2 linked regions of the Arabidopsis thaliana genome follow. The protein of the gene in region 2 purifies or fractionates together with the protein of the main gene of each other region. This does not show direct contact. Each region holds a gene or a part of one and is shown on either strand. Other genes may lie near its edges.

The links. The genes of interacting proteins can lie anywhere in the genome.
Region 1: the proteins of AT3G30841 (region 2) and AT5G11810 fractionate together in Arabidopsis thaliana (co-fractionation; one large-scale study listed by BioGRID). This does not show direct contact.

Annotation. Positions count from the first base shown.
Region 1 is NC_003076.8:3,806,670-3,811,987, forward strand, and holds AT5G11810 (rhomboid family protein), read left to right. Parts: upstream 1-2,008; 5' UTR 2,009-2,069; coding exon 2,070-2,208; intron 2,209-2,554; coding exon 2,555-2,625; intron 2,626-2,761; coding exon 2,762-2,814; intron 2,815-2,911; coding exon 2,912-3,391; intron 3,392-3,497; coding exon 3,498-3,588; intron 3,589-3,684; coding exon 3,685-3,771; 3' UTR 3,772-3,979; downstream 3,980-5,318. Other genes in the region: KEA6 (K+ efflux antiporter 6), read right to left, coding at 4-79, 168-229, 306-384, 495-556, 770-813, 1,121-1,400; AT5G11820 (Plant self-incompatibility protein S1 family), read right to left, coding at 3,980-4,522.
Region 2 is NC_003074.8:12,589,036-12,594,546, reverse strand, and holds AT3G30841 (Cofactor-independent phosphoglycerate mutase), read right to left. Parts: upstream 3,170-5,511; 5' UTR 3,074-3,169; exon of another isoform or gene 2,979-3,073; 5' UTR 2,953-2,978; coding exon 2,641-2,952; intron 2,564-2,640; coding exon 2,418-2,563; intron 2,341-2,417; coding exon 2,064-2,340; intron 1,980-2,063; coding exon 1,707-1,979; intron 1,626-1,706; coding exon 1,146-1,625; 3' UTR 996-1,145; downstream 1-995. Other genes in the region: ABCG38 (pleiotropic drug resistance 10), read left to right, coding at 1-205, 331-588.

The sequences.
Region 1 (5,318 bases), on a different chromosome or scaffold from region 2:
GACCGGCTGTCCAGCACAAGCAAAGGCGATACCACCACAAGTTGCAGATACAATGACAACCACCAGGTCTGATATCAGTCTACATGCCATAAGAAGCAGAAATCAGATGACTGATTGAAAATTATAGTCTTTTTTTCAAGAATCATGTTTAAGACCAAGAATCTTGCCTCAAGTCTAGCTGCAATACTGGATACTTTGATTTGGAATTGGATATGATGAAGACATTGTCCTGACACAAGGCCAAAACTTCCATGTAAGAAGTAATGCAACAAATCCAAACTCAGTCTTCCTGTGTAAAAACTTACTTTTCGATCAATGAGAGTTGGAGTGTCCTCAGCTCTGTTATCATTGTTCAAGTTGAAAACATCATGGAGTTGAAAACGCCTATGGAAAATTAGATAACGCTTAATACGTCTTCAATTCCAGAACATCAAAGAAGGTCATACAAAGGAAGATTTAGAAATATAAACGATAACTATAATAGAATGGTGTACTTCTCCTCTTTTGTCTCATTTTTCTTGGTCGACTTTACTCGGGCTACAGTTTCCAGAACAGCCTGATCACCACAAGGTACAACAACCAACCTCACATTCAGATACTCAAACTATGCAATTAATGAGAGAAATGATCAAATCTTAAAGCAAGCCTTATACTTTCAAACAAAAGACTTGGGAGTGATTTTGACACTGCTTGAATTTCCTAGAAATTGTCCAACTTTGAATAATAAACAGAAGCAAGTATATACTAATGATTAAAAGTTAAAACAAACCTGTTGTCCAGCTACACTGTTATTGAAGCTTCCAGGATCAGCCACTGCCACAAATATAACAACATTGGGAGATAATATATCGAGTAAAAGTGTAAGAATACAAGATAAACACTCACTATCCATTTCAGGAAAACCAATCACAAAAATGTATCTTGTTTGTGTAAATATTCTCGATCTAGAAGAAGCAAACTATTCCACATTGGGAGATCCCCAAAAAGGAAAGACGAATGTGGGATCAATCTAAAGTTCCGAACTTTCAATTGGATCACGGATCCAATTCAGGATCTACCTAATGAATTCTAGTTGTTCAATGGCCATTTCAAGCTCCATAAAGTAGCAAAAAACACTAACCTTCATTCTGGTCGCTTTCATTGAACTCTTTTTCAAGAGCACGATCGATGATGTCGGCGAAGCTACCTTCCTTAGGCTTAACAAGAGAAGAAGAAGAAGAAGCGTTGAGAGATGCGACGGAAGAGGAGGAGTTGGCGACTGTTTCATCCAGTAGATCCGAATCAGATATAGCTCGAGGAGACGCGACGGAGAAGCAGAGGAAGAAGGAGAGTAAAAGTAAGAGGAGAGCTAGCTGTTGAGAGGAGAGCGAGAATCTTCTTCTTCTTCTTCCTTCCACCATGGCAGAACAACTGGTTCTGGATTAAACCGGACTGGAGCAACGGTCTAGCAGAAGAACCGGAACCGTCGCGAGTCTCTCGATCGAGGACGAGGAGTGGGCAAGTGGGGAGAGAGGGAAAGTGAGATTGTTGCAATGGTCAACAAACAGTCCATACATAGGCTCTCTACATATAACAAGACTATACTGTACAATTTACGACATATCTGTATTAAAATTAATTATCGGATTTTTTTCTTTTTAATGTTGTGTTGTTTCTTTGTAATATACAGCAACTGCACCATGTCCATGTGGTAGATTAATGAATGGAATGGGTCTTTCTTGGTTATTTGATTTTCGATTAGGACAAAACATCTTCCATTTCTATAAAACTTTAGCTCAATGTCTACGCCATACTTATTATTACTCAATGCGACTCTTTTTCATGTAATCATTTAAATCCAATAAAAATAGATTTCACTGTATTTATAATTCTGTGAAATTTGTAAACGTGTTTTTTTAGTTCATGGTCCCCAAAAATTATCCAAAAAATCGCTGTCAATTAAAAAATTAAAAACAAAAAAAAAGAAAAATTATATTATATATATATATATATATATTCCCCTCACGACAAAAAAATATATATATTCGCTTCTGTTTTTTTCTTCTCGGACAATTCGTCTTTTGACAACAATGGCGGACAAATCAAGCAGATCACTGATATTGTACGGAGACGGCTTGGCTCGATTTGTCGATCCGTCAAATACCAACATCCATTCTCTTGCTTCCGTCGCTACTTGTGGCTTCTTGAGCCTTCCTAATGCACCTCCAGGTCTCTCTTTCTCTCTCCCTCGCTATCTCTTCATAAATTTGGTTACTTTCGTTTGATTCGTCTTGAATTTCAGTCAAAATCGCTACTTTAAGGGTTTTCACTTGTTAGGATTTCTTAGTGTTGATCAGAATTGAACCATATCGTTTGGATTCGATTGTGACTTTTTTAATAGTCCAATATGAAACTCCAGTATACAATTGATCTAACTGGCCAACTTAGAGTTCTTGTTCAGTGTCAATTGACCCAATTGCTTAAGAAACAAAGATTTGAGATCACTTGTGTTACATTGCCCTTGCTTTGACATTTTGCTATTGATCTAACTCACTCTGCTGTTTCAATATTGCAGAAACTGAGAATGAAAGAATAGTTCGAGAATTCTCCCACTTGCTGGATGCATCCGAAGCTTATTCCATAGCTGTGAGATACTTTACTCTCTACTATATTAATTTCTATGTGAGCCGAGTTTTGTGGCAAAATATTTAACAATCTCAGTGTGTTTACATAGTTATTCACGAATTAGAGATTAACGAACCATGATCTGATTTCTTAATAGAGTGGACTAAAACCAAAGGGAAATGGAAATGATATCTCAACTTTGGCTGAAAGGTTATACTTTTCACTTATCTCTATAGTTTTATACTCTCTTTGATAATCAATAGCTGGTATATCCATATGTTGATGCTAGTATTTACTTTAATGCCAGGTTTATGGGACTCAAAGCTGCTTTAGTTACGGACAGTTCTACTCTGACTTCTTTCGGAAAACTGATTGGCTTAGATGTATTACAGCTTAGTGAAATATGCCAAGAGAGTGATTCCTTTCCTTCTGATGCCACATCATCTAAACTACTAAAGCTGCTTGGATTTGAAGGAGGAAAGTGCTTGGATGTGAACCTATATGACTTGGTTTTTGTTCATTTCGGGGTTGATGAATATAATAACGGGAACAACATGGGAATTCTCGACTCTTTGATTGGCAGTATTATGGGAATGGCTCAACCAGGTTCAGAGATTCTATCGCGGTTGCATCTGTCTGTCGTTCTTAGCTATGGTTCTGTCACAGACAAAGATGTTTCAGTTTTTCCAATCAAGACTCCACAAGAAGACATTAACCCGGCATTTATAGGACTTGTCCCGCGTCAGAGCTACACCATGCGAGGTGAAAAGACACGGGATGATGTTCGGTAAGAGATTCGATGAATTTTTGTCAAAACCAAAAGAATTTGATTTGAACTTTTCTGAAATCATCATTTCGTTCTTGACGGGTTTGGTCATTCTTGCAACCTACAGGCACTACTGTCCTATGTTGGTAGCTCAGTGGCAGCATGGGGTGACCCGGAAAGACTTAGTTGATACCTTATCATTTGAAGCTCTCAAAAAGGTATGGTTTCTGTTTAATGCAAGTTCTGCTATAATAAACGTCACGGCTTCTTGTCTCAAGGTTAATTTTTTTGTTGTTTCTCTCTTTTCATCATAGCTCTGTGGAAATCTTGTTATACCGGCTGATCGGTTCATCCACGAAGTTGCTTTCAAACTTTGGAAAGCCCCAAAATATGGAGCTTAAGCAAAAGTAATCATCTAGTCCGGATGAATTCATTCTCTTTCCGCTGTTGAAGTTGTTTGTGGATTGATCTCAAATTTGCTACCTTTACATAAAGGAAAGACACAAAAGCTGTTCTGTTTCTTCTAGATTATGTATCGTGTTATCCATTTCATACACACAAAAATAGAGATATAACATATATCCTGAAGTGGTCATGGAAGTGTAAAGATTATGGATCCTCTTTTACAGGGTGGTAATTAGTACCGCCGATCCAAACCATTCTCAATTCATCTCCATAGAGCCTTTGGCCTTTATTGTCTCTTTTGATCCTCCTTAGATATAGCCCGTCTCTCTTAACCACCCAAATGCACTCTTCCTCATCCGGATTATCACATTGCCACCTGAATAATCTCTCCCCGGCAAAAACCGTTGCTGTCTGACCAAATGGCGAGCCAAACGCGGTGAAGAACGTGCACTCAAAGTATGTGTAGAAAAACGGTATCTTAATAAATATTGGCTTGAACGACCAGCTTTTGGATTGGCCTGGTTTGAGAGCATGCGTGCCCAATTTGTTATTCGACGACCAACAGTTAATCGCGAGGCTACGATTCCGTCCTGGGTATATGGAGATCTCGTTTCTTACCTCGAACCGGGCTGCTGATGCGGTGTATGCAAAGCACGCTGATGCGATGAGAAGGCACCATGTGAATGCGGTGGCTAATCGGAATCTTGATCCGATCTTGAACCCAAACCCCATTGCTCTATTGAACATTTCTGTTTTGGTTTTTGAGGTTTTATACAAACGGGAGTGTTTGTTTAACAACAACAGAAAAACGGTAGTGGTTTTGGACGTTTTGTTCGTTGAGCTTTCTTTTCCCTTTTTTCGTTTTTAGTTTTAGTAAAAAGTTTAACAAATAATATTCGGTTTGGTTTCAAACAGTTTTATATTGATTGAAAAAATCTAGTAAATTGAAATTGAATGTTAAATTTGTTTTTCTTTTCTCTTTGTTATATTTACTATTTGGTTTGGATTAAAAAAAATCTCTTAGGTTCATGTGACTTTTCATAGTAGTATTGGACTAATAGTTCTTTAGTCTTTTAAGTCCTCCCTAGACCCATTTACGATACTATATCCAAAGTTCCCCATGATATTCATACCTTATATAGTATTACATTACAACTTTAATAACTACCGATGTGGGACACTGCCAAAAAAGAAGCAAACAAAAACTACCGAACGTTATATTATTACAAGAACACAACTACACAAGTAAACCTAATTCTCTGCTTTCTCTCCATCTATCGACTTCAGCTACTGAGTGCAAAATCTTTTTGGGGTCTTCTTAGTTACGTTTGCAAGGCGCGAGGCAACAACAAGTGGGTTTCTCAAAAAAAAATAGATTTTCGTTTTGATGTTATTCTTCTAGTCACATGAATAGAACATAAATTTGATCAGATAATAATAGATATAAAGACATGTCCTTAAGGAGCTTAACAGTGAAGTTACTCGTGCCGGTGTGTGAGAAAAACAATTAGTCATCTGCTACTGCCAACAAAATATCATCCCT
Region 2 (5,511 bases):
TATTGTCTATGGGATGATAGGATACGAATGGACAGCTTCCAAGTTTTTTTTGAACATATTCTTTACCTTCATCAGCATCCTCTACTCTATATACACTGGTATTATGGTCATTTCCGTAAGCCCTAATCAAGAAATCGCTTCGATACTCAATGGTGTCATATCCACATCGTGGAACGTCTTTTCAGGATTCACTATTCCTCGTCCCGTAAGTAACAAATTCTGTAGATTCTCTTTCTAAATTTTGTAACCAAAATGTTCACAATTAATCAATTATAGTAGTTTCAGCTTGGCTATGAATGCTCATAATTTAAATGGATATTAACTTTGCAGAGAATGCATGTATGGTTGAGATGGTTCACCTACGTGTGTCCCGGGTGGTGGGGGTTGTACGGACTGACGATAGCTCAATACGGAGATGTGGAGACAAGGCTCGATACGGGTGAGACGGTTGTTGAGTTCATGAAGAATTATTATGGTTATGAATACAACTTCTTGTGGGTTGTCTCACTTACCCTCATTGCTTTCTCTATGTTTTTTGTATTTATCTATGCTTTCTCTGTTAAGATTCTGAATTTCCAAAAGAGGTGAGAAAATTTAGGGGTGGGCATTTCGGTTTAACTTTGGGTTCGGTTCGGTTCGGTTCGGTTTATTAGGGTTTTGTAAAACTTTAATCAAACTCAACCGAAGTTAGTATGGTTTGGTTTGGGTCAATCTATATTTATTTGGCTTTAGTTCGGTTTGGTTTAAATTCGGTTTTAAAAACTAATCAATGTAACCAAACAAAATTATTTTGTTCATTTGTTTGAATTTTGAACTTGATAATAGTTAACTGAAGCAACAAGTTGTATATTTAAGTTTAGTAATTCAAATAAACCAAAGAAAAAAATAAAAATGCAAACAATTACATATTTAGTAATATACAATAATATTATTAATTAATTAATTAAATAAACACATTGGGTTATTGGTTGTGTTCGATTCGGTTAAATTGCGAACACCAATAACTCATTATCTACTTTGTTTGATAATCAATTATTCAATTTGTTACGAAAACTAGGTTTGTGTTACACTTTCAGCTTTTGGTATTTTTATTACACTTTTCAATATCCAAATTCTCAAAGAAAAATGCAAAACTTTTAAGTAACTCATACCTCTAGATTAAGAAAGTTAGTGATGACTCCCATCATTTCACCGCCATGGAAACGGCCAAGACATCCTCTTGCAGCTGCAACCTCATTCAACTCTGCAACTAAATCTCCACCAATTGCCAGAGGAGCTTCCCTCCTCCCACTCTCTTCCTCTTGTTTGGTAACATCTTCACCTGATTCCACAACCGTTGGAAGTGGAAAAGGGTCCAAAGACGTCTCTAGTACGGCTGATTCTCCTCCCACCGCGCTCACAAAGTCCCTTAACCGGCACATTGTGAATGGGACAGGCTCAAAGCTGTGGTCTCCATACTCAACAGGAGTTGAATGATCACCGGTCACACACAAGAAATACTGGTAATGTGTAGAAGACTCAGCTTGCCATAAAAGCTTAGCAAGCTGACGTATCGCCTTATCAACAGCTTCTAAACCTCGAACTTTGAACATTGTCGCCTTATCATGACCTGCATCATCTATAGCCTGCAACAATATAGAAATATGATCGAAAATCAGAGTGGAAATTTTTAAATTTTGTGTTAAAAGACTGAAAAAAGTTTTCACCTTTATGTGAAGGAACCCGAAATCATAACCATCTGACCTTCCTGGTTTATGCCCGTCCTCTCCCGGTACAAAGACATTAGGGCAGGGATTCAAAGGAGCTGAGAGAGCATTAGCTATAGCAGTTGCTTTCGATGTCAGAAGCGTCCGGTAATCTCCAGTAGCTCCCGGAGCTTCTAAAATGTCAATACCGAGCGACATACCAAGTCCAGCTATAATCTTTGTTGGTGCTACCATACATGGCCACAAGCCATGCTTCTCATGAAAAGGAGGTACCTAAATACACAAAACCCGTACATGAAGCAATTACATTAATTAACATCATTTCTACGAACGCAAGTAAAATAGTCAAACACACACCTCGATTCGAATACCACAACCACGTAAAAGAACGAGATTTGCAATATTCTTGCCTTGTGCAGCTCTCTCTGCGTTAACCGGGTGAGAAACAAGAATACGCGATATCTCTCTTGATAATTCGTTAACAACTTTAGCAGTGTGAGTAGCTTCTTCTGATTCATCTAAAGGTTTAGCTTCAAGAAGCAAACGATTATCTTTCAACGGATCAGTGCCAGATATATTCCCACTAAGTCTTGGCCCTTTAACAACAACACCACACCGATGTTCCGTCGCATATCTATCGAAAAAGAAACAAACTTTAGCCAAACAATAAACCACACAAAGCCATAAACACTAAGACAAACATTTTGCAACCTGACTCTCACTTCATACTCAGGGAAAGATTGAAGCTTTAACCCATCAAGAGCTGCACAAAGTATAGGACCTTCTTCTTCGAAATGTCGATCAGCTCTTCGACTAACAACAACTCCAGATTTCTCATCCAAAGTTGCAAAATTAGACTACATGGTAACAGAATGTTAAACAAAACCTATAAACAAACAAAAGAATGGAATACAAAATAATAAAACGCACAAACCTTGAAAGCTATATCACCAGGTGACATAGCTAAACCTGCACCCATAGACTCAAAAGCACCACGTCCACGGTAATATACTCTTGGATCATAACCCATGAGAGAAAGATGAGCAGTGTCACTACCACAACCTAAACCAACTTCTACTGGATCCATTAAACCGTTGATACCAGCTGATGCAATTGCGTCGAGATTAGGTATGTTTGCTGCTTGTAATGGAGTTTTGTAACCTAGTTTTGGTATTGTTACATCTCCTAAACCATCGATTAGAACAAAAGCTACTCTCTTTTTGACTTTTACATGATCTTGTTCCATTTTTTTTCTTTGATCAAATGGGTAATCTAGAAAACGAAAAAGGAAGAGACTTTATAATCTGATCGGGAACAAATTGAATTGAGAGTAAAGTATTTGCATGATTCGAAATTTGTTTGCTTACCTGAGAAACAGAGAAATGATCTTCAATTCAAAGAATGTAACTCTTGAGCATCAATGACAGATTGTTTTTTTTTTTAAGAATCTTTATAAAGGGGAGACGAATAAAGGATTTAATAGAGATTTAATCCAAACCGAATCAGAATATAATTAACCGGTTTAGATTGAACCAGCCTTCCGAGAGTTTGCGATTGGGTTTGGAACTTTTGGATATACGAATGATGGGCCATTAGCCCATTACCAAGTTTAAATACTTATTTTAGGCCCATAGCTTTTTTTTTTCATTTCAAATTATTATCGATCAATGAAAACTAATAAATGTTGTTTATAAACGTGATATGATGCGATTCGGTATAAAACTTTTGTGCCAAATTATTCGCTTTACTAGTTGACCCATAACTATTTTCTTAATTAATCATAATAAATAGATCAAATATATCTCTAATGAATAATGTACTTGACGACAAAAAGAAATATATAGTTTTCTTAGTTATTTTTCTCATAGTAATTTTAGTTATTTTATAATTGTATACTTGAAAACCATGTGGAAAAATGAATGTCGGTGTCTAACATTAATATGTCGAATTTTCTAACACATCAATAAAGCAAAATACATGTTTTAAATTCTAACGCATTCCACCGGGAAAATACATGTTTTAAGAAATATTTAAAATTTATTATTGAGTTAAAATGTTGATCGATTTAGGTTTCTCAGGGGCCTAGTATTAAGGCATGTTCGTTTAAGTGTCGTGCGACTATAACCAGCGACTGGCTTTAAAAACGACTGAGTTTTGTTTTTTTTTCCTCTTTTTTTTATAAAATTGGGATATGTTGTATAAATTTGTAAATTGGAGAAGAAGATAAACAGTAGTCCAGGTTTGTAAATATTTGAAAATGGCAATTTGATTTAAAAAATCTAGCGACTATCGTTACTTCAAAATTAAAGCTTGGGTTGTGTTGCTGATTTATCCAGCGACTCCAAATTCTTTAGATTTCAGTTGCAACGATAGAAAATAGGGGAGATGAAGAAAAGGTGAAGAACGGATGAAGGAGATGTAAAGGCAATATTTTGATTATCAGTCGATGTCGCTGCGATTACTGCCGAACAGGACCTAAGGAAACGAGTTTGGAACTCTACATATTCCAAGTATAATTTATCTGTTGTCTCAAATTCTAACACATGTTCTATGCATCTACATAGATATAAATATATATTTACGGTCCATTTTAATATTCAGAGAGAGTATCTATCCATAGACTCAAAGGCGGATTAATGGTATAAACAGGTGGAGCAAGTGTCCCATACACATTTTTTATAAATTAGCTAGTAACAAATATTGATTAGATTATGTAGCTCAGTTGGCTATTAAGTGCTCTATGTGATATCTTTGGTCATGGTTTGTTGGTTTTTGTTGTTGTACATTGAATGTATAGAAATGATAATAGATTTTTTCTGTTGTTGTACACATCTCTTTTTACTCCTCTTTATGTGATATTGCTTCACTTTGAATGACAAGTAATCTATACTTGTACCGGTGTGGCGCGATAGAGTTCGTCCTCAAAGCAAGGGCCAAAGGCTTAACATCTGTATCACTGTATGACAAGTAACAAATACTATTTTGTCTTTGTTTTATTAAATGGTCGTTTTAAAGTTTTAAAATAATCAACCTCTTTTGAGTAGATCTTTAAGAATGAAATCACTAAGATTTTTTTCCTTTTTACAAAGAATTAATTAATCTTATCAATAAAAGAATAAAAGAATGTATTAGTTGAATAATATATAGTTTTGGTCTTCTAATAATGTAAACCAATAAGATAAATACATTTATCAATAAATAAAATTTAAAAGAATGTATTAGTTGGATAATCATAATTCATGAATAGAGAAATCTTATCGCCTACCACTAAGATTCAACGACTAATTCTTTATTTTTGCTAATATTGACTAACCAAGCACCTTGCTCTCCACGTTTAGTTGTTAAAAGAATCCACCTAGTCGTTTAGTCAAATTTTATTCTTTAAAACCTCTAGTCATTATCAAGTTTCATTGAAGAAAAACGTTTTCTTTGATTCGATAGGGAGGACCAATTTGATCTGAGTTCGTGATCATTGCCTGAACTTTCCATGGATCTTGAAGCTGAACCCATCAGCACAAAGTGTTAGTATGTTGTGATGTTGCTGAGTTGTGTAGCTGTGACAGTTGGAAAATGGACACTCGGTCAGAATCACAACATATGCAGTGACAGTTTAAAGAAACATTCTGAGATAGTATTGAAGCTTGAAGATCATCAAAGTACAATCTACTAAGGTGAGTTTGAGTTCTAAAACACAGTAATAAAGGGGGAGAATGAGAGTATATTTGTAACTGGTTGTTAGACTCAAGATGATGACACACAGCTCAAGATATGAGATGATACAGACTGCACTACAACAAGAACGTGT